6 linked regions of the Rattus norvegicus genome follow. The protein of the gene in region 1 purifies or fractionates together with the protein of each later gene. This does not show direct contact. Links are inferred from orthologs where the notes say so. Each region holds a gene or a part of one and is shown in the gene's direction. Other genes may lie near its edges.

What was found.
Region 2: the proteins of Mecp2 (region 1) and Ddx56 purify together in Homo sapiens (affinity purification with mass spectrometry; 3 studies listed by BioGRID and IntAct, with this or other methods). This does not show direct contact. The link is inferred for Rattus norvegicus from reciprocal best matches to the Homo sapiens genes MECP2 and DDX56.
Region 3: the proteins of Mecp2 (region 1) and Kpna3 purify together in Homo sapiens (affinity purification with mass spectrometry; 3 studies listed by BioGRID and IntAct, counting the BioPlex papers as one, with this or other methods). This does not show direct contact. The link is inferred for Rattus norvegicus from reciprocal best matches to the Homo sapiens genes MECP2 and KPNA3.
Region 4: the proteins of Mecp2 (region 1) and Gtpbp4 purify together in Homo sapiens (affinity purification with mass spectrometry; 3 studies listed by BioGRID and IntAct, counting the BioPlex papers as one, with this or other methods). This does not show direct contact. The link is inferred for Rattus norvegicus from reciprocal best matches to the Homo sapiens genes MECP2 and GTPBP4.
Region 5: the proteins of Mecp2 (region 1) and Tbl1xr1 purify together in Homo sapiens (co-immunoprecipitation; 3 studies listed by BioGRID and IntAct, with this or other methods). This does not show direct contact. The link is inferred for Rattus norvegicus from reciprocal best matches to the Homo sapiens genes MECP2 and TBL1XR1.
Region 6: the proteins of Mecp2 (region 1) and Kpna4 purify together in Homo sapiens (affinity purification with mass spectrometry; 3 studies listed by BioGRID and IntAct, counting the BioPlex papers as one, with this or other methods). This does not show direct contact. The link is inferred for Rattus norvegicus from reciprocal best matches to the Homo sapiens genes MECP2 and KPNA4.

The regions. Positions count from the first base shown.
Region 1 is NC_086039.1:156,940,744-156,943,902, reverse strand, and holds the end of Mecp2 (methyl-CpG-binding protein 2), read left to right. Parts: intron 1-690; coding exon 691-1,041; intron 1,042-1,542; coding exon 1,543-2,644; 3' UTR 2,645-2,659; downstream 2,660-3,159. UniProt on the Homo sapiens protein: Chromosomal protein that binds to methylated DNA. It can bind specifically to a single methyl-CpG pair. It is not influenced by sequences flanking the methyl-CpGs.
Region 2 is NC_086032.1:85,326,263-85,329,762, reverse strand, and holds part of Ddx56 (probable ATP-dependent RNA helicase DDX56), read left to right. Parts: intron 1-1,516; coding exon 1,517-1,590; intron 1,591-1,879; coding exon 1,880-1,957; 3' UTR 1,958-3,500. UniProt on the Homo sapiens protein: Nucleolar RNA helicase that plays a role in various biological processes including innate immunity, ribosome biogenesis or nucleolus organization. Plays an essential role in maintaining nucleolar integrity in planarian stem cells.
Region 3 is NC_086033.1:39,783,328-39,787,335, reverse strand, and holds the start of Kpna3 (importin subunit alpha-4), read left to right. Parts: upstream 1-1,208; 5' UTR 1,209-1,215; coding exon 1,216-1,284; intron 1,285-1,291; exon of another isoform or gene 1,292-1,747; coding exon of another isoform or gene 1,748-1,870; intron 1,871-4,008. UniProt on the Homo sapiens protein: Functions in nuclear protein import as an adapter protein for nuclear receptor KPNB1. Binds specifically and directly to substrates containing either a simple or bipartite NLS motif.
Region 4 is NC_086035.1:65,997,883-66,002,182, forward strand, and holds the start of Gtpbp4 (GTP-binding protein 4), read left to right. Parts: upstream 1-1,500; 5' UTR 1,501-1,541; coding exon 1,542-1,589; intron 1,590-4,273; coding exon 4,274-4,300. UniProt on the Homo sapiens protein: Involved in the biogenesis of the 60S ribosomal subunit. Acts as a TP53 repressor, preventing TP53 stabilization and cell cycle arrest.
Region 5 is NC_086020.1:106,831,665-106,835,164, forward strand, and holds part of Tbl1xr1 (F-box-like/WD repeat-containing protein TBL1XR1), read left to right. Parts: intron 1-920; coding exon 921-1,143; intron 1,144-1,663; coding exon 1,664-1,796; intron 1,797-2,195; coding exon 2,196-2,337; intron 2,338-2,822; coding exon 2,823-2,886; intron 2,887-2,988; coding exon 2,989-3,086; intron 3,087-3,500. UniProt on the Homo sapiens protein: F-box-like protein involved in the recruitment of the ubiquitin/19S proteasome complex to nuclear receptor-regulated transcription units. Plays an essential role in transcription activation mediated by nuclear receptors.
Region 6 is NC_086020.1:155,656,252-155,659,751, reverse strand, and holds part of Kpna4 (importin subunit alpha-3), read left to right. Parts: intron 1-1,257; coding exon 1,258-1,353; intron 1,354-2,195; coding exon 2,196-2,281; intron 2,282-3,500. UniProt on the Homo sapiens protein: Functions in nuclear protein import as an adapter protein for nuclear receptor KPNB1. Binds specifically and directly to substrates containing either a simple or bipartite NLS motif.

The DNA.
Region 1 (3,159 bases):
CTCACAAAAAGAATGCATCAGGGATGAGATTATATTATCTAATGTTGAGATGAGGAAACTGGGGCTTACACTGCTGAAATCTCTTGCTGCAGTCCTTGCTTTGAATTGGAAAGTCAGGGGGCTGAAGCAATGGTTCAGAAGTTAAGAGCTCTGGCTACTCTTCCAGCAGACCTGGATTCATTTCCCAGCAATCACAGGGTGGATCACAACCATCTGTAACTTCAGTCCCAAGAGATCCAATGCCCTTTTCTGGCTTTGCTGTATTATTTTATTTATCTTACATGTTTTGTCTTGTCATGTGGCAAGCCCAAGGGGCCATTAGGTGCAACTTACAAACTGACTTCTGACAGTGGTATGTTAAGAAGCCAGCCCTACAGTGCTTATATTCCAGAAAAAAAATTAAAAAAAAAAAAAAACATGTGCCACTTTAAGAGCATTAGAACTAGGGTTTGGAGAAGTATGATAAAAGTTGAATGTGTTTGACCAACATCACCAACTACCTAAAGCTGCTAAAGAAATCTTTGGGCCCCAGCTTGGCCCAAAGATACATTGTCCTAGGGAAGTTACCAAAATCAGAGAGAGTATGCAGCAGCCAGGGGTCTCATGTGTGGCATTCAAGCTCACCTATACTCACTACTGTGCAGACAGCTATGCTCTCTGTAATACTTACATATTTGTTTAATACTTCAGGGAGGAAAAGTCAGAAGACCAGGATCTCCAGGGCCTCAAAGAGAAACCCCTGAAGTTTAAGAAGGTGAAGAAAGACAAGAAGGAAGACAAAGAGGGCAAACATGAACCACTACAGCCTTCAGCCCACCATTCTGCAGAGCCAGCAGAGGCAGGCAAAGCAGAGACATCAGAAAGCTCAGGCTCTGCCCCAGCAGTACCAGAAGCCTCTGCTTCTCCCAAACAGCGACGTTCCATCATTCGTGACCGGGGACCTATGTATGATGACCCCACCTTGCCTGAAGGTTGGACGCGAAAGCTTAAACAGAGGAAGTCTGGTCGCTCTGCTGGAAAGTATGATGTATATTTGATCAAGTAAGTAAGAGCAAGTCTTGTGTCTACAGAACAGGGAAGGCCAGGTGGGTGGGAAGGCTAGGATGCAAAAGCTTTATTGCACTGAAATGGCTTCCCAAAGAGGCTGGACATCATGCCTTGGTTAAAATGCAGAAATGTGTTGGTGTTGGGTTAAGTCTGGGTACCAACCAACAGATTGGACCCAGCCCAATGTTCACCAAGTACCAGGCCTCACCCGTTTGGTTTCAGTATTGTGGAGAAGCAGGAAGTACAGAGAAGTGTGCTTGAAAGTGGGCAGGTCCTCTGTTTTCAGATTCAGCTGCATTGGCTTCTGAGCAAGCTGTAACATGATTTCTACTATGCATCTGACCTAGGTGTGCCCTCCAATAATTTTAGCACTTCAGTTTGTTGTTCATTTACAATGTCTTAGAAGAAAGCTTGTCAGTACTACATTTTCTAAGTCAGTCTCTACGTTATCAAAAAGCTTCTGACTATTGTTTGTCTCTCTGTTTGTCTCTACAGTCCCCAGGGAAAAGCCTTTCGCTCTAAAGTAGAATTGATTGCATATTTTGAAAAGGTGGGAGACACCTCCTTGGACCCTAATGATTTTGACTTCACTGTAACTGGGAGAGGGAGCCCTTCCAGGAGAGAACAGAAACCACCTAAGAAGCCCAAATCTCCCAAAGCTCCAGGAACTGGCAGGGGTCGGGGACGCCCGAAAGGGAGCGGCACTGGGAGACCAAAGGCAGCAGCATCAGAAGGTGTTCAAGTGAAAAGGGTCCTGGAGAAGAGCCCTGGGAAACTTCTCGTCAAGATGCCTTTCCAAGCATCACCTGGGGGTAAGGGTGAGGGAGGTGGGGCTACCACATCTGCGCAGGTCATGGTGATCAAACGCCCTGGCAGAAAGCGAAAAGCTGAAGCTGACCCCCAGGCCATTCCTAAGAAACGGGGTAGAAAGCCTGGGAGTGTGGTGGCAGCTGCTGCTGCAGAGGCCAAAAAGAAAGCTGTGAAGGAATCTTCTATACGGTCTGTGCAGGAGACTGTGCTCCCCATCAAGAAGCGCAAGACCCGGGAAACCGTCAGCATTGAGGTCAAGGAGGTGGTGAAGCCCCTGCTGGTGTCTACACTTGGTGAGAAGAGTGGAAAGGGACTGAAGACATGCAAGAGCCCTGGGCGTAAAAGCAAGGAGAGCAGCCCCAAGGGGCGCAGCAGCAGTGCCTCCTCACCACCTAAGAAGGAGCACCATCATCACCACCATCACGCAGAGTCCCCAAAGGCCCCCATGCCATTGCTTCCACCTCCACCCCCACCTGAGCCTCAGAGCTCTGAGGACCCCATCAGCCCCCCTGAGCCTCAGGACTTGAGCAGCAGCATCTGCAAAGAGGAGAAGATGCCCCGAGCAGGCTCACTGGAAAGCGATGGCTGCCCCAAGGAGCCAGCTAAGACTCAGCCCATGGTTGCTGCCGCCGCCACCACCACCACCACCACCACCACCACAGTTGCAGAAAAGTACAAACACCGAGGGGAGGGAGAGCGCAAAGACATTGTTTCATCCTCCATGCCGAGGCCAAACAGAGAGGAGCCTGTGGACAGCCGGACGCCCGTGACCGAGAGAGTTAGCTGACTTTACATAGAGCGGATTGCAAAGCAAACCAACAAGAATAAAGGCAGCTGTTGTCTCTTCTCCTTATGGGTAGGGCTCTGACAAAGCTTCCCGATTAACTGAAATAAAAAATATTTTTTTTTCTTTCAGTAAACTTAGAGTTTCGTGGCTTCGGGGTGGGAGTAGTTGGAGCATTGGGATGTTTTTCTTACCGACAAGCACAGTCAGGTTGAAGACCTAACCAGGGCCAGAAGTAGCTTTGCACTTTTCTAAACTAGGCTCCTTCAACAAGGCTTGCTGCAGATACTACTGACCAGACAAGCTGTTGACCAGGCACTCCCCACAACAACAACCCCCTCCCTCCTCACCCCACCCCTATCCCCTGTGTGCTCATTAGAGAGGGCAATTGAGAGGACACTCCCATTTTTGGTGCCACTGATGCCCTGTCCATAGCTTCCCTGACTTTTACACCACCCCAACTCCCAATCTGAGGGACTGGGAGGTGTGACGCAGGAGAAACTATATAGGACTCTTGG
Region 2 (3,500 bases), on another chromosome or scaffold:
TCAGTTTGCTGATGCCATGTTGCTGCCTTGGGAGTAACAGGCAGGGCTGGGAAATCCCAACACCCAGGGGCAGAGACAGGCCGATCTGTGTGAGTTTGAGGCCAGCCTGGTCTACAGATCAAGTTTCACAGCAGCCAGGGCTATGTAGAGAAAAAAAAAACAAAACAAAAAAGATGACAGGAAGGTAAGGGAGGGACATACTAGGGCAGAAGAGGTGCAAGTGTGAAAGGGCCCAGGAAAGGGCTGGAGGCAGGTGCTGAGGGACAGTGAGCCAGAGAAGATCACCCTTGGTCTGTGTCAGAAATGCTGGGAGGCTCCCTTCGGCCTAAAGCACCTGCTAAGAGCCAAGTCGCTCACTAAGAGCGTGGCCAGGGGAGGCGTGAAGGGTTAGATGTGGCCTGTCCTGATGGGGTTGAAGTGGGTGCTGTGAGGCTGGGATCTCGAGATCTTGAAGTTCTGGTAGATATAGAGGGGAGGGGAGGGGCAGTAACCACCCTCTGAACCCCCCCCCCCCCCCCCCCCGAGCTGGGGACTGTACCCAGGGCCTTGTGCTTGCTAGGCAAGCACTCTACCACTGAGCCAAATCCCCAACCCTTGAATTCTCTCTTTTTTTTTAAAGATTTATTTATTTATTATATATAAGTACACTGTAGCTGTCTTCAGATACACCAGAAGAGGGCATCAGATCTCTTTACAGATGGTTGTGAGCCACCATGTGGTTGCTGGGAATTGAACTCATGACCTCTGGAAGAGCAGTCGGGTGCTCTTAACCGCTGAGCCATCTCTCCAGCCCGAATTCTCTCTTTTTAATGCCTCATCCTTAAAGGTGTCATCCCCCCCACCCCTCTGTGCTATACACATGCTCTGCTGCTGCTGAATATGTCATAGGTTCTCTCTCTATTTCATTTATATGTTGCTGTCTTCAGACGTACCAGAAGAGGGCATCAGATCCCATTACAGATGGCTGTGAGCCACCGAGTGGTTTCTGGGAATTGAACTGGGGACCTCTGGAAGAGCAGCCAGTGCTCTTAACCACTGAGCCATCTCTGCAGCCCCTCTCTTTCCTTGTTTTGTGTCCTTTCACTAAATACTACAGAGATGACTCAGATAGGCAGTGGGAGCCTATGGAGCTAACTTTAATCTTTCATCTGTGCACGTGTAATAAATGAGTACTGGATACTCCTCTGCCTTCTGTCCACGCCCCCCAACTCTTTACTTTCTTTATGGCTTTTTGACACAGGGTTTCTCTGTGTAGCCCTGGCTGTCCTAAAACCCACTCTGTAGACCAGGCTGGCCTTGAACTCAGATCCTCCTGCCTCTGCCTCTGAGTGCTGGGATTAAAGGTGTGCACCACGGCTGCTGGGCTGGATTGGAGTCCGTGCTGTAGGTGTACAGGGTAGGCTGAGAAGGGAGTGGGCCAACACTGGAAGCCAGGCTCCCGGAGTAGACAGAGCTGTGTAGCCGAAGCTACAGCTGAATAGCTGAGGCTATCCCTGAAGTCCAGCCTCTCTTCCAGTTCCTGCCGCTCTTCGTGGCCTTGTACATCCTCGAAAGAAACGGAGAAAGATGCCCTTCTCTAGAAAGGCTAAGGTATGTCTCCTGCCATTCCTGGTAGCAGGGTTCCTTTCCGCCTTGCCCTTCACCCACCTTCAGCAGTCTGAGGGAGGGAAAGGACTCCCAGGAGTGGGTGTGGGGTTGTGGTATTCCCTACAGATGCCTGAAGGCCCTGTTCTGCCATCAGTGGTCTCCCTCACGTTGTCTGCAGCCGCTGGCTGTTTCTGGCTTGTGGCACAGGGATTTGATCAGGTGCCAGCACTGCTCACTCTGCTGGGACCGTCTGACTGATTCCCCAAACTGACTTTCGACTCTGCCCTTGTAGAAGGTGAAGACCCAGAACCCACTGCGTGACTTCAAGCACAGGGGGAAGAAGCCTAAACCCACAGCAAAGCCTTCTTGAGGTTGCCTGAGCCTGGGGACACTGAATTGGGCATCCTGGCCTGTGTGGACTGGGCTGCCCACTCCTTGTGGGCACATTCTGGTGCTTGCTGTTTGGACAGACTACTTTGAGGAAGCAGCTTTGGACACCCCGTCACCTTGGCACTGCTGGGCTGCCATGTTGTCCGTTAGCAGAATAAAGATTCCGTCTGCTCCAGGCTGTGACCCTCTGGACTGTGGGAAGAAACTGCTTTCCCATATCTCCAGAGCTGGCAGACTTCGAAAAGGCGATCCTGTCTGGCTCTGCTGCTGCGTGCAGTGCCGCCGCTGGCACGCAGAGGCCAGGTGTCCTGGTTCTGCTGGTCCAGTGTGGGGCTGGGGCTGACCCAGAGCCCTGTATTGAGTTCTACTGATGCAGACCAGCTGACAGGTGGGCTTCTCTTCTTCTAAGTCAGACCCTAAGCCTGCATCTCACCAGCACATGCATGTTCCCATTCAGAGAAAAGGTGACTAAGCCCTGGGAGACGAGGCGCTCGTGTCCCTTCCTAGGTGAAGGAGCGGGACAGTGTGTTTGTCTCAGAAGCACAAGTGGTAGTATAGGGAGTGCACGCCGTGAGACCCTTCCTCCGTGTCCCAGCCTGAGCCCTGGCTACGGGAGTATTCATTCAGAGCAGGTGATTCTCCGCATCCTCCTACCTGACCCGGGTACCACAGTGTGACCCACGGCTGTCTGCCTGTCAGTTCTTATCAGGCGTGGTAAGGCGAGGCTGGGGTGGGGAGAGACAGTGGAGGGTGGGAGAACTGTCACATCTGGTGAGGCTCTGGTTATAGTTAGGGTGTGTGGCTTAGTGACAGGATCTGAGACTTGGGGTTTCTTTATCTTAACTCCAAGGGTCTTCAGAAAGCTGGAGTCTGTCACCTGGGAAGACAGGGATTGTGAGTGGATAGATAGATTCCAGAGCCTTGATGTCCACAGTGGTATAGACCTGTGCTCAGTTGTACTGAGAAAAGGTCCTGGAGCTGGAGATCAAGAACAACCCTGGGGCTGGGAAATGGTTGTAGATAAAGCGTTTGCTATGCAAGTAGTGAGGGCCAGCATTTGCAGCCGCAGCATCCAAATTAAAGCTGAGTGGCAGCCCGCATCTCCAATTCCATTGTGTGCCTTGTGGGCAGGGAGAGCTAAAGGAACTTGCTAGCTAGGCTGTGTGGCCCAAACAGGAAGCTCTAGGTTCAGGGAAAGACCGCGTCCTAAAAGCTAAGATGGAGAGCAATGGAGGAAGACCCTGGTCTCAGCCTGTGACCTCGCGGGCATGACAGCATGTACCAGCACACGCAAGCAAAGAGCAGTCGCTGGCCTTTTCCGTCCTGCCTTGTGACAGCCCCGGACAGTCGAGTGCCCCGAGGTGAATGTTGCATCCATGCCTGCTGTTCCTGTAGCATTGCCTGTGGTTCTGACACTTTAGTTACCATGGTGAGGACATGTGCCCCAGAACCTTCACCCAATGGAGAGATCGGGTTTCCCTGGTGAGGGTTCCTGTGGGACGATGAAGCTGGTATAAAGTCAC
Region 3 (4,008 bases), on another chromosome or scaffold:
TCCTGCCATGATGACAATGGACTCAACCTCTGAACTGTAAGCCAGCCCCAATGAAATATTTTCCTTTATAAGAGTTGCCATGATTATGGTGTCCCTTTACAGCAACAGAAACCCTAATTAAGACAATTCTGAAATGTAATACTCATATATAATCTAATAAGGTTATCTTGCTGTAAAAACAAAAACAAAACCAACCAACTAACCAACCAAAACCAACAAAAAAACTGTTATTGTTCCAACAGGAAGCTAAAGGGAGTTGACAATCTGGAGTCTGCAGACTTAGGTCCTGAAGGCTACATTGTGTTAGGTAGACTAAAGCATCAGGTCATAGAAAGGTAGGGCTGCCAAAGTGAAGGTTGCACAAGGATGCTTGGAGAAATCAGGGGATGCTAGAACACTTTTTTTTTAAAATCAGAATTTACTAGGTACTGTTTTGATCTGACAGATTTTTGAGACCAACAGTGTCTCTTTTCTCATTGAGTTTAATAGCGGGTGCAGGAAGCAATCATAAACACACACATCACACTCACATGTATTTGTGGAGTGGAAACAAGCGTGCTATTTATAAAACCGAAGCAAAGCAGAGAACAGGGTTTGAGGGTGGCTGCTATTTGAGGAGACCCTAAAGAAGCCAAAAGCGCAAAGCACGCGTGGCCGTTCTTTTTCTAATTTTCGAAGCTGTAGAAAGCAAGGTGCGCCCCCGGAGCTCCGCCTCTCTCTCCGGATAGGCTGCAAGGTGCCATCTCCAGAGTTGCCCCGCCCACCAGCCCGCCCAGAGGTGGGGCTTCGAGCCCGCGCTCAGAGAGCGCCTAGCCGAAAGCGCGCGCACAGCCCTCCCGGCATGCTTCTCGTCCTCTCACACCGTGGCTCAGACCCGCGCCTGGCAATCTGGGAATTGTAGTTTGCGCCCTCCGCCCCGCTTCAGGGGTGGCGGTAAAAGCTGCTAGGTCGGGCTCCATTTCTAGCACATGACTAGCTGCTGTGGGGAGGCCCGGCGAAGGGGTGAGGGTAGGGTCAACGCGACAGCCGGCAGGCCAGCGCCCCGGCCTTCTCCGGCGCGCGCCTTTCCTCAGCGCCGCCCCCGCGCCGCGGCCACCTCGCGCTCCAAGCGTCACGGAGCGCGCGCTCCTCCCCCTCCGTCCCCTCCCGCTCGACTCGCCGCCGCCGCCGCCGCCGCCGCCGCAGGAGCAGCCGCCTCCGGAGCCGCGCGCAGCCATGGCCGAGAACCCCGGCTTGGAGAACCACCGCATTAAGAGCTTCAAGAACAAGGGCCGCGATGTGGAGGCGAGTGTGCTCCGCGGCTGGCTGGGTAGGGCGGGGAGGGGCGGGGGCCCGCGGCCGCTGGCTCTCGCCGGCTGGCGGTCAGTCGGAGTTGGCCGCCGCCTCGGGGCGCCGCGGCCCGGGCAGCAGCCGCCCTCTGAGCGGCTAGCGCGGCACCTGGGACCGCTGAGCGCTCGGCCCCGCTGCGCGGGCGCGGCCTGGCGTCGGAGGGGAAGGGATGTGGAGCCGAGGCGGGGTCCGCGGGCCGCGCGGGAGGACGGACCGGGATGCTGCCGCCCCGCGTGCCGACCGCACCGCCGGGGCCGGGCCGCCGCTCGTGTCCGCAGCCGGTGCAGCCTCCCGCGCTGCCGCACATGGAGCCTGGGTCCCCGCGCTTACCTTGTGCGAGCCGGGCCCAGGCGGGCGGTGGCAGCCCTCAGAGGGGGGTGGGGACCAGCCGGGTAACTGACTTGTTTGAGGGTGGTGGATGGGGGAGGGTAGGATGCGCCAAGACCATTTTCTTATATTCCAGTGCTGTCCTTTGGACCAGTCTTCCCGAGCTGTTGCAGCTCATACCCCTGTGACTGCTGGCATTTGGAGCGAGCTAAAGGTGGACAATAGTTTACCGTCTATTGTGTTGAAGCTTTGGGAAGGAGGTTGTGCAGACCTCTGATCTTGGGATTTTTTTTTTTTCTAAAGCACGTTTTGGAGTGGAAGTGTGAATAATAGGAAAATAATTTCTTTGACCTGTTTTGCAGAAATAAATTGGATACATAGATTCCTACGTCCTTGTGTATACCACATGCCACCAAGCTAGTAGATTTTCCAAGTGGTTGCAAAACTGTAAACATTCATTGTGGTCACTCAGTTTGCTGCTACTCAGCATGTTGCCATTGTCTCATTAAGGTGACATTAGCAGCTACTATTTGCAAACTCTGCTTATTGAGGTAGCGCTAGAGGTCTCTCTGCTCCTACTAAAACCAATGAAGTGTAATAGCACAAACTTCACTGGGACCCAACCTCTGGATTTGATGGGGGAAATAGTTTTGAGCCCATATCCTCTTCTCTATTCTAATAGTAGGTAATATGATTTGTATAGTCTAGTAGTCTTTGGTAAGAGGCTAGTTAGTAAATACAGGGTTTGGTTTGGTTGAGAAGCAGACGAACCTGGACCATTTTTCAGAGCTACAAAATTAATTATGAACTGGAAAGAACCTGGGGGAATATCTGTGGAATTCCCATTTGAGTGAGACTATAGGTTTTCTATCTCTGCCCTGATCACATTTAAGTTTCTTTATGAGAATTCCAAACAAAAGTGAAACCTAGCAAATGGAACATCCATCAGTCTGTTTTTTTGGTAAGAGTGTGTGTGTGTGTGTGTGTGTGTGTGTGTGTGTGTGTGTATGTATGTGTATGTGTATGTGTATGTGTATGTGGCGTGTGTGTGGTCTCTCTTGCTTTTCATTTGTTTTGTTTTTGAGACAAGGCTTTAACTACAGGGCAGGCTGGTTAAGCAGAGAGAATAATCCTGCCTCAGTCTCCCACGTGCTGGGATTACAGGTGTGGGCCACCACACTTTGTCCCACCAGTAATTGTTCTTGAGGTTGTCTCTTATTACTGTAAGCAAAACCTGAATAGTTTACGTGGATACTCTATTGCTTGTACATTCTTTCCTTTTCTGGATGTTGGTGTAAGTTTTTGTCATGATTCGTTTGAGTTCTGTGTCCTGTTTGTTAAATGATAACTAGTGAGGACTTCTGCATGTAATAGATCCACAGCAACTACTTGCTGCTTACTAGAAGGTGACAAGTGGCTTGTGGATACATGAAAAGGACAGTTGCCATTTTGTCGGGTTTTGTTTACAACATTTCATGTCCAAGCCTATGTCAGTATAACTAGGACATGAAATAGGCATTCAAATGGTAGTTCTTTGTGGCAGACACAAAGAACTATACATTGGTGTGCTATACCAAGAACATTTAATCCTCACCACTTAGAAGTGGTGCATTCCTTTACTAGAGAAGAAGAATTCTTTTTTTTTTTTTTTTTTTTTTTTTTGGTTCTTTTTTTCCGGAGCTGGGGACCGAACCGAGGGCCTTGCGCTTCCTAGGCAAGCGCTCTACCACTGAGCTAAATCCCCAACCCCAAGAAGAATTCTTCGATATAGAATTGCACGTTTCTGTAGCGTGCTGGTAACATCTGAGAGCATTCATTTGCTAAGTGACTATTGGGTGACTAGTGCAAACAAAGATGGCGTCCGAGTGATCTCTGACAGATAAATGGGAATGAGCTGATCCTGAAGAGTCAAAGAAAAGCTTGGTGCGCCCTCAGTAATCTCAGCACTTGTTGGGATAGCGGCAAGTTAGGAGTTCAAGGTCATCCTGAACCGGCGGGCACCCTACCTCAAAAAATAAGCAAATGAATGAAATGAAAAGGTGATAACTGGGGAAGGGGAAGGGCAGGGTCGAAGAAGGGGATAGGCTTTTGTGATTTGAAGATTACTAATTTCCGAAGTTCCTAGAACTGCAATGGGACTGCTTTGCTAAGGGGTTCTGGGGAGTGGGTGGATGCTAGAAATGTAGTGGAAGGGTAATCTAGGGTCTGGTCTAATTTAGGGTCTTTATTGTGGTTTTAAACAGAACTAAGAGGAGATGCCAGCCATATTAAATTTATTTTTCCCATTAAAAGCTGTGCTGCATTTGAGTCATACTATGAGTTAGCACTATAATTAAGTAGTTGCGATTATTA
Region 4 (4,300 bases), on another chromosome or scaffold:
ATCCCTAGATTCTGCTCACCCACTGTGTGGGACCACATGCAGCTCTTTTGCCTTATCCCATAATTTTCCTTCTCTGCTCCTGTTCCAGGGATTTATCATCAGTGGGACCACTCTTTATGCCTCACCTCTGCCCAAGGCCTCAGCTACTAACTTTGTTTCAAGGTCTTTAGTTCTGGTCAATCTTGCTCTTGGCTCTAGGTCCGCCTTGTTCTGAACTCTGGTGGGAATCAGAGTGTGAGGCTGTCCTTCCCAACAACACAGAGGGATGCATTTAGTTAGAAAAGCAGAAAATGCTCTTTATTTTCAGATATACCTAATTTACATTTCTGGAGTCATGTGGGGTGGAGATTTCACTTCTGATTGAAATGTCTGATTGGAATTGAGGAAGAAACCAGGCTGAAAGAAACTTGTATCATAGTAGTCCACATGGGAGCTGTGAAGCCACCACTCAGAAAGGAGACTCTGAAGAGGAAGAACTTTGAGGAGTATCTAGTTAGGGAGAGACAGCAGGAAATTAGCAAAGAAGACTGGATTCTAGACATCATGTACCAAAATGATGGATGTCACAGAAATAGGGAGAAGGGTTTGAAGGGGACAGCAATACCCGAAAAAGGGTCATTTAAGTTACAAGATAATCAGGAGGCAAGAGTAGCTGGATGGAGGCTGGCAGGATTCCCAAGGATCCAAAACAAAAAAACAAACAAACAACCCCCCCCCCAAAAAAAACAACAAAAAAACGGTGGCTTAATTAAAATGATAGGGAAAACAAATATGGGAAAGTTGGCTTCAATCCATGTAATTCTGTACGGATCAGACTCTGTCTATGTCCTGGTCCTGGGTTCAGGGCAGCTGTGCGGGGCAGTTTTTTTCACTGGCCCATGCCAGATGAAGGCTGAGCGCCTTCAAACCACCGCGAGGCTGCAAGGTCAGGAGAGGGAGCTCGAGCCACCTGGAAGGATGCAGTCTTTTCTATCGTCAGAAGTCCCTGTCAACATTATTTACTCCAATAAATAACTTTCCACAGTGCCAGGCGACAGCATTTGTTGCTCAGGGGACACACAGTGATGCAAGAGCCCCGCTCTATGTCTTCCTGCATGTCACTTGCCCTGACCACGGCGTCCCCAGAGGTGGCGAACAGCCTTTGGAGCCCTGAGGCTTGCTTGGGTGAGGGGAGTGTTTCCTGAGACCCCGCCAAGGTGGCCAGCCTGGAGTATCTCCTTCACCCCGCAAGGTTATTCCCCACCCTCCACCTCTCAAACCCAGCCGATCTCCACAGCAGCTCATCCGGTCTCCTTATCTCTCGGCCGCGGACTTCACGGCCGAGTGGGGGCGCTGTCGAGGAGCACGTCCGGGCGGACGCGCGGGCCACGCCTCGCAGACATTCAGGAAATGATGCAATGCTTGAGCCCTGCAGCTAAAGTTCAGTCAAGCCGAATGGCGGAAGTCCCGCCCAACCCCGCCGGCGGAAGTCCCGCCCGCTCTTGACGGCGGAAGTCCGGTCCTCCGCTTCTCCAGGTTTCCTCGTGCGTTCCACCGCCGGCATGGCGCATTACAACTTCAAGAAGATTACGGTGGTGCCGTCAGCCAAGGTAGGGGTGATCGAGGTCGTTCCCGCCTATCTCCCTTCCCCTGACAAGTCTCCAGGGAGGGTTTAGTTCTGTATCCCCGAGACCGGGGGAGGGAGGACGCCTTGGATCCACTCGGCCCTCAGACCCGAGCTCCACTTGTTAGGCTTTGTCCTCGGCACTCTCGGAGATCAGTCACACTCTCTGGAACCAAACCCCTCTCCCTCTGTCCATGGGTGCCCTGAATCCTAGAATCCCTCCAAGACCTCAGAACTCTTCCAGGACCTATTATTCTTCTGTGCCCTGCCGACGTGACAAAGTGTCTGGGTGCTGGCCGCAGTAAGGAGCAAGGCAGGAAGCCTGGAGTGGTTAGTGGTGAGCGTCGTGAGACCCCTGCTTTAGGATTCTAGATTCAACGTAGTATCCTCCCTTTTAAGTAAAACTTGATTCGTGCTGTCACGGTCTAAAAAATTCTAGGTAGTTGTCATTTGTCGTTGGATTTAGAAAATGCAATTGGTTTTAAGCACGCAAGGCCAAATTTATGTGACGTAGCAAGATACGTTCCTTCCAAATGTCGAGTATTATTAGTTAGGCTAAAGAACCTAAAAAGATACACGTGTTTCTTTGGCAAGCCATGGGCATTGAATCGCAGGATCAACTAGAGGAACCAATGTCACTGTCATTAAATTTACAGCAGTGTGGGTATTTTCGATATCTTCCTTTATGAAAGAGCTTGTTCTGAACTTTGTTAATATAATTGACCTAGTAAAGAATTGAACGCAGCATGTGTCTCTGTTGCCCTGAAGGAGTTCTGCTGCTAGAAAACAGATTAAGTTAGCATATGTATTAATAGGCGATGGGAATCCTTCGGTGGTTGGAAATAACTCAAGTCTAAAGAGTATGGGGTATTTTTGTAAAAGTGTGTGCTAGGTTCTGTGTATAGACACTCAAAAGAATAGTCTACGTCTTTAAGAATCATTTTCTGAAGGAATAACAAAATGCATTTAGACCCACTGCAGTATCATGGAGAACTGTGTGAAATACATTTGGCCCTCTGTGTTTGAGTTCAAATCCAGATTCAACCAACCGCAGACCAAGAACACTATTTGAAAACTGCATCCACATTTAATGTGCACAGACTTTATTTTCCCTTTTTTGTTGTTTATCTGTTTGTTTTCTTTCTTTTTGGAGATGGTCTTACTAAGCTGACATGGCTGGCCTGGAACTTAAAGAAATATGCCTGCTTCTGCTTCAGAGTGTTAAGATTAAAGGCATGAGCCTCCATGCACTAACATTCCCTAAATATATGACATATGTATGTGGATTCTTCTATACACAAGCACTGTACCACTTTATAATGAATTCAGATATCTGTTTGAGAGCTATTGTGGTGAGGGCGTGTGGGGAGAAACTCTGACTGTAAACTCCTGTAAGTATCAGGGATTTGGGATAGCATAAGAATGTAGGGAGAACAGGGCAGTGTTGATGTACGCCTTTAATCCTAGTGCTCAAGAGGCAAAGGCAGGAGATCTCTGGGTTTGGGGCTAACCTGGTGTACACTGAGCAAGATAAGTTGTAGGACAGCCAAGGCTACAGGCAGAGAAACCCTGTTCAGAAAAACAAAACAAACAAACAAAAACATGCTGATAAAAGGGAGAGTCTGGAGAAACTTTTCAGTAGGCAACTTTTACTGTCTCCCTAAAGATGTGAGGACCATGGTAAGGAACAGAGGGGAGGAACAGAGGCCTGAGTGTTCATGCTCTTCATAATCCCTGGCAGACTATTGCGATTACCTGCTTGCCTTTGGTTTTGCTTCACGGGATCTTGGCGCCTAGTTCACTGCTTTGTCCACCATTGTTGTTCATTCTATCCTTTATTACAGGACACGAGCAATATTGTTGAGGTAATGGAAGTGATCAAGGGAAAGGAGAACAGTTTTGTATGGTTGGGTAAAAGTGAATAGGGACAAATAGCTCAAATCCTCAGTCTCCTCAACATACATAGGGAATTTTAGATGGTGGGTTTTAGATTTTTCATTTTATAACCCCTTAAAATCACAACTACAATGTCCTTGAAATTGAAGAACTGTCTCTTTTTCTTCTGATTTATTCTTGAGTTTTCTTAGGAGTTTGCAAGTTAAAATAGTATTAAAAAAACATGGGTTAAAATATATTTCAGCAACCATTAGCAAGTCCTTTCCTCTACATTGGGCAGATTTATAGGAATGACTAGGGAGGGGCCTCCTCCATCAGTTGGGAGTATTCACAGGGTTTTCAGCCACTCCAAACGAGGGTCCTGGGGGTGGCTGGACACGTCGAGCATGCCCTCATTATCAGGGATGGATGGGGCTGGGTGTTTGTAAGGTGTGGCCTGGTTGGTCATGGTTGGTGTAGGGGCTGAGTGAGGGCATAGTTAAAGCAGGGCTTTGGCACTAAAGGACACCACCAGCACCGGCCCTTTCAGTCAGGCATTCCTGAGGAGTGTGGCGAGTCTCTCAACTGTCTTAGTGTTGGTGGTGGGTAGCAAGTTTTCATAAGGGCCAGAAACTGTAAAGATGACCCAAGTTGTATATAAAACAATTGATTTTTGAAAAAATAAGTTTTGTAGTTTAAACCATATAGTACTGGACTAATGTTTTATGGTTATAAGCAAATGGCTAGAAAGTACATGTGTTTGAATTTCATCTTAATTATTTTCTTTAATCATAGGACTTTATTGACCTGACATTATCCAAG
Region 5 (3,500 bases), on another chromosome or scaffold:
ATGCTCAGAGCTGCATGTGTAAGTAGTGTGTTTGTTTCAGGTATAGGCATGCTACTGTTGCCTGAGGCAATCTTATCTGCTCCCTGATTGTATAAATCAGCCTTGTAGCACAGCCAGACTCATTTACTTCTGGACTGTCACTGGGATCATGAGGAACTGTAACAAGGCTGTTATGCCCTTCAAAGCATTAATAAGCACACATTGCATGTTCTTTCTGAGTGGAACTTTGTTGTAGCTACAATGTTTAGTGTATGGCCAGAACACAGAATATGTAGAAGGTCTCTTCCCCACATCCCCCCATTTTTTTTGGTAAAAGTAAGTGAAAAGATTTTAGCTCTTTAAAGTAGTCCAGTCCCTTGTTTTCCTAAGGGATAGGTCCTACACCACCATAGCTAGCATTATCTGCTGGTTCTCTTAGGTTACACTTAATATCATTTGTATGTCATACAATATCATGCATTTAGATCACTTATATGATATGATCATCCTGTAGTGTTTAGAGAAAACCCATAAGAGAAAGATCTGCTCCAGGTCAGGATAGGTGCATCATCCCAAGGCCTGGGTGCAGAATGCAGATGCAAGTACTGGGTACTTTCTTCTCATTGTATGACATATTCATATTGGTCAGTGTTTCTTACTAGCAGCTTCCCTTACCTGAATGTTATAGTATGCATTTTATTATCTTTAACCTTTTGCCAATGGCCTCTTGTATTGGTTTGTCTTTGTGCAGAGTTGATGAGGACCTTAGGTGACAGTTGGTGGCTGTTTGCATTTGACTCTTGCAGTGCCATTCTTGCTCCCTTCCCCCTTCTTGCTCATGTTCATGGTTTCCTCAGAATGAAGTTTTTCGTTTTGTTAATGGAGTATATGTCAACCTGACAACTACATCTCATTTTTCTTTCCCTGTTTTTCAACCCCAGGATGGCACCTTATTTGATGGTCGACCCATAGAGTCTCTGTCCCTGATAGATGCTGTCATGCCCGATGTCGTCCAAACAAGACAACAAGCCTACAGAGACAAGCTTGCACAGCAACATGCAGCCGCTGCTGCAGCTGCTGCCGCAGCCACTAACCAGCAAGGCTCTGCGAAAAATGGAGAGAACACAGCCAATGGGGAGGAGAATGGAGCACACACCATCGCAAGTGAGCAGAGAATGCTTGGAGATGGTCAGCACACACTGCTCTACTGTAGTGCCCACCCTTAGAAGCTACACTGATAACCGGTGTTTGCCTCTACCCCAACTGGCATCAACACACTTCAGATTACAGACCTAAGATTCCAAAAGCTAAATGAACTGAATGTTCGTTCCTTTTTAAATGTTTCTGAAGCCTTTTTCTACTCTTAAGTGCATTTTGCATCTGCATTTGATTTCTAAGTAAAATTTATAATAGTCTCTGTTACAAACATCCAACAAGGCTCTGACATTGAGGAATAAAGATGACTCGTGCTGTATGAATGATAGCAGCAACCCCTACTGGCAGAACTCAGAATAGTATTGTTACAGACTTTAATTCAGCCTTGCTGAGGTATAACCTTTTTTCCCCCTTTCTTTTTACCATTTCACATACACATTCCGGGATACTCACACTTTTAAAACTAGCACGTCATACTTGCCAGACATGTGCTTCCCTTCTGACAGAACTGCTACTTTTCACGATGCAGATAATCACACGGACATGATGGAGGTGGACGGGGATGTGGAAATCCCTCCCAATAAAGCGGTTGTGCTTCGGGGCCATGAATCGGAAGTTTTCATCTGTGCCTGGAACCCTGTTAGTGATCTCCTGGCATCAGGGTAGGTTTTTCAAAGAGCTTTCTAGTTGTTGAGCATTTTGTTTGGTTTTAGACAGGATTTGCTGTTTAACTTGACGTGTTGACCCACCTGTGTCCTGGGCTTTACCATGCCCAGCACTATCGTGGTATTTAAGAATACCTCACCAAATAGGCTGCTACATGTTTTTGTTAATATATTTCACTTTATAGTCACTTCTGTTGATTGCTTATGATCATCTTGCCTTGGTAGATTAGTATTTCTTGTGAAGTTGTTACTTAGTAGAAGCTCTAAAATATAAAATAAGAAAAATATTAAAATGTTTGTGTCCAGTAGTCTACTTCTTATTCATGCTAAATGTGTGGCTTAGATTGTGGAATGCTTGCTCATATGAGGACTTGAGCTGATATTTTGACTCTGAAGGTCTGGAGACTCCACTGCAAGAATATGGAACCTCAGTGAGAACAGCACAAGTGGCCCCACACAGCTGGTGCTTAGACACTGCATACGGGAAGGAGGGCAGGACGTTCCCAGTAACAAGGATGTCACCTCTCTAGATTGGAATGTGAGTGTTCTTTTCTTGCATAGGTGGTCTGTGAATGAAGACATTTGAGGACTCGACATACTATAATCTGGAGATTAGGTCCCAATTTTAGCTTCAACCTGGCTCCATATTCCTAAAATCCTAATCAAAATTTAAAAATAAATTGAAGGCTTTACTTTTTACCTCTTATAAAAAGCATCCTCAGAGTATCATTTTTATGTTGTCCTTCCTGGTCTATACCTGCTGCATCCTCACTCATGGTCCTCTGTGAAAATGTTCTGCGGAGGAACTGCAGTCCTGCTCCACAGTGCTGCCTGCCAGTGCTCATCCTTGGGTGGGCTGTCTGAGGACACTGGCTTCATCTGCGAGCAGGGTTTTGCCAGCCTTTGTTGGCACTCACACAGAGATCTGGGTCTTTTGTGCCCAGAACTTCAACAGGCACTGTGTGTGTAGTAATTAAATGGCCTTTTGGATTGTGTAATAAACAAAATGTATTTCTCTGCCAGAGTGAAGGTACACTTCTAGCAACTGGGTCATATGACGGATTTGCCAGAATATGGACTAAAGATGGTATGAATTTTTCTAACTTTATTGATGTTCTAAGTTATAAAGTTTAAAGTAATTTTAAAGTTTTTTGTTGTTGTTGTTGTTGTTTGTTCTTTTTTAATTTAGGTAATCTTGCCAGCACCTTGGGGCAGCATAAAGGTCCTATATTTGCATTAAAATGGAATAAGAAAGGAAATTTCATCCTAAGTGCTGGTGTAGACAAGGTAAATGAACATTCAAGTCAAGTTCTATCAAGAATATATTTGAAAGTAATTTTTTCTTTCCTGCTAATAACTTAAGCAGACTTCAGTTCATTCAAATAAGAAGTGGTAACAGTAATAGAAATTTTTCTTATATTGTCTGCTTATTTTCCGAAACTACTATCTTATCTTTCATTGATATGACCATGCCTCATTTTTGCTAGGATTTGTACCTGGTGAAGCATTAGAACTAAGCACTTTGTGCTTCCCAGTCCATCTCAGTGGCAACGGCTCCTTCCACCCAGCAGAGAACAGACTGTTAATCTGTTAATCTGCTGGGGGAGGGGACAGAAACTGCCTTCGACTCATATTTTCAGTGAGCAGTTCTAAAAGAGAGCTGAAGGAATGTGCAAAAGCAGGGGAGGGGAGAGCCAGCCC
Region 6 (3,500 bases), on another chromosome or scaffold:
ATGGTTGTGAGCCACCATTTGGTTGCTGGGAAGTGAGCTCAGGACCTCAAGAGAACTGTCAGTGCTCTTAACCACTGAGCCATCTCTCCAGCCTAACTAGACTTTCTTAAGCCACATTGTTACATAGTTGTACAGCAAGTTCCAGTAAGGAAAAGATTTCTGTTAGGATACTTCGTACAATTAAACCTGCACTTTCTCACATAGGAAAATGGGCACGAATCTTTTATTTTTACTCTGTAGATCCCATGAGAACAGACTTTATCTTGTTTTTCCTCAATATCTTCTGAGTATTTTCTTGGATTGCTATATTTATTTCTTTTTTAAAGGTCCTGAGATAAAAAGTACTGTTTGGTTTTCATGATAGTAGTGTATAGAGTAGGATGAGACAAACACTGTGATCGCTTTAAACATACCACCCTTTGACCCTTGTCTTTTATATGCCCCAGTATGCATAATTTTGGTTATTTTGAAAACCTATTAATTTCATTTTTAGCAGAGTTAATGTTTTGTTGAGTGTGTCTAACTTTTTTTCTGAGTTTAAAATGATCTATGAACATTGCACATAAAAATTTTTAGTTGTGCTTAGCACAGTGGCACACTCCTTTAATTCCAGCACCCAGGAGGCAGAGTAGTGAGCTTGAGGCCAGCCTGGTCTACATAGTGAACTCCAGGACATCTGGGACTACATAGTGAGAAACTATGTTTAAGAAGCAAACAAACAAATACAAACAAACACGCACAGAATGTGCTATGTTTAAAGTGATCATAGTGTTCAATTCATCCTAGTCTATACACTCACTATTAATTATGAAACATAATTATTATAACAATATTATACAGCAACTTAAAAAGGAGTAAATACAGAAATATAAAAAAATACTCAAAAGACATGCTGAAGATACCGAGGAAGATAAGATAAAGTGTTTTTATGGAACTTAAACAAGAAAAAATAAAAGCTTGGTGCCTATTTTTCTATTTGAGAGACAGGAGGTGTCTTTTATAGTTGCCCTATTCAGAACTGTGGTGAGAGAGTAGTGTTATGCTAATAAAAGTAGCAAAGTTTCTACTCTATTTTTCTAGTTATTTGTAAATTTAATTTATTAGTTGATCTTCATGATTAGAGAAAATATTGTATAAAGTATAAGTAGCTTTCCAAGAATACTTATGCCATCTCTTCAGATTTACAATGTCTATATCCAGTTTGAATTTAATTGTAATACATGTCACTAAGTTTTACAAGTGGTATCTATCTTACAGGAAGCTTTTATCCAGTGATCGAAATCCACCAATTGATGACTTAATAAAATCTGGAATATTGCCTATTTTAGTTCATTGTCTTGAAAGAGATGACAAGTAAGTATATAATTATTATTATTTTCAATTTCAGTGTGTTCCTTAGAAAGGGTAAAATTTCTAGTTTAATCTTTAAAGGGAAAAGACTCAAAAAGTGGAGGTAAGAGGTTTAGAAGTCCACAGTGATACTTGGCTAAACATAATGAGTTCAGTGGCAATTCTGGACACTAGAAACCCTGTTTCAGAAACCAAACAAGTATAGTGATATATGTGTGTGATCTGAGAAGTTAGAAAGCCTCAACTCAAGGCCTGCCTGGGCTTTGTAGGGAGAGGTTTTCTTTTCTTAAATAGGACTTACTTACTTAATTAATTATTTATATGTATGTATATATATATACATATGTGTGTTGCCAATTAACAAAATTTGTATATGTATATATGTACACTGTTGCTGTTTTCAGACACACCAAAACAGGGCATCCCATTACAGGTGGTTGTGAGCCACCATGTGGTTGCTGGGATTTGAACTCAGGACCTCGGGAAGAGCAGCCAGTGCCCTTAACTGCTGAGCCATCTCTCTAGCTCAAGAGAGATTTTCTTTAAAAAAGAAAGGAAAAGGTTGTGGGATAGAATTGAAAGTTAAAATCAAGGTAAGAACCAAAAACAAATTTGAAAATTATTTTTAACTTGTAAACTTTGAAAACTGGCATGATAAGTAGTTGAAAACTAAGGAATAATATAAAAGTAAATATCTAAGTAAGGAAGTCTGACTTTCAGAATGGAATAATTGGGTTATGTTTTTAAGGCTGGAAAGACATTTCAAATACTAGAGAGAAGGAATAGTTGGTAGACATGTAGGTGATATGAGATGTATGGTTTAAAAGTCACTTGTTCTTTGGTAGTCCTTCTTTACAGTTTGAAGCTGCATGGGCTTTGACAAACATTGCATCTGGAACGTCTGAACAGACGCAAGCAGTGGTTCAGTCCAGTAAGTTGCTAATTAACAAAATTGTAATTTTTTTTTTTCTTTTCATTGGTAAAAAATAAACTGTTTTGGCCAGACATGGTGGCACATGCTTTTAATTCCAACACTTAAGAGGCTAGCATAGGAGGAGGAGACAACTTTCACCGACTCCCCAAGTGCAGATGTTTCAACTTGACTTTGGATTTTTTATCATTGCTCTGTTTAGTATCCAAACTAATGAGATAAAGGAGATATTTTTTATTATGACCATAATTAATCTACATAATATAAATTATGTAGTGTTCTTCAGAGTACTGTCCAAAGACAAGTCAAGAGTCAAGAAGAAGAGTCAAGTCAGAAGTGCAATGTTAGTCTGCTCAGATATGTAGAAACCTATTTTTGTGTTTTATCTTCCACTTAAGCAACAGAATTACTTTCTGACTGAAGAACTCAATGTTCCCTGACAATCAATAGCCTAATGAATCATATCATGTTTTTTTCTTCTCTCTCTTTTTTTAAAGATTTTATTTATTTATTTTATATATATGACGAGTATACTGTAGCTGTCTTCAGACACACCAGAAAGTGGGATCAGATCCCATTACAGATGGTTGTGAGCCACCATGTGGTTGCTGGGAATTGAACTTGGGACCTCTAGAAGAGCAGTCAGTGCTTTAACTGCTGAGCCATCTCAAGCCATCTCTCTAGCCCTGATTTAAATTTCTTATCCAAAAGTTTCATAAGCAAGGCAGGAAAGATGGCTGAGCAGGGAAAGTACCTGCTGCCAAGCCTTATGACCTGAGTCTACTCCCTGGGACCACATGATCAAAGGAGAGAACTGATTTTTGCAACTTGTCCTCTGGCTTATACACACATAAACACCATATACAATATACACAGCAATATATACCACACACACAGATACCCATACACAATACTGATCCATACACACCACATACATACCTCTATAGTACATGTACGCAATACTTAGCCATACATATCTATATGCCACATACATACACAGAGATATACATACACATGCCACATATTCACACTTACATACATATACCCACATACACAGCCATACACACCAATACACACACTCATACACTCTATCTAAATAAATGTATTTAAAAAAATTACCTGAAAAGTCAGATTTTTTTTTTTGTTTGTTTTTTTTTTACTGATTTTGAAGGTAACACTCTAAGGAATGATTCTTGAAATTGGGCTTCAGTCTGAGCTA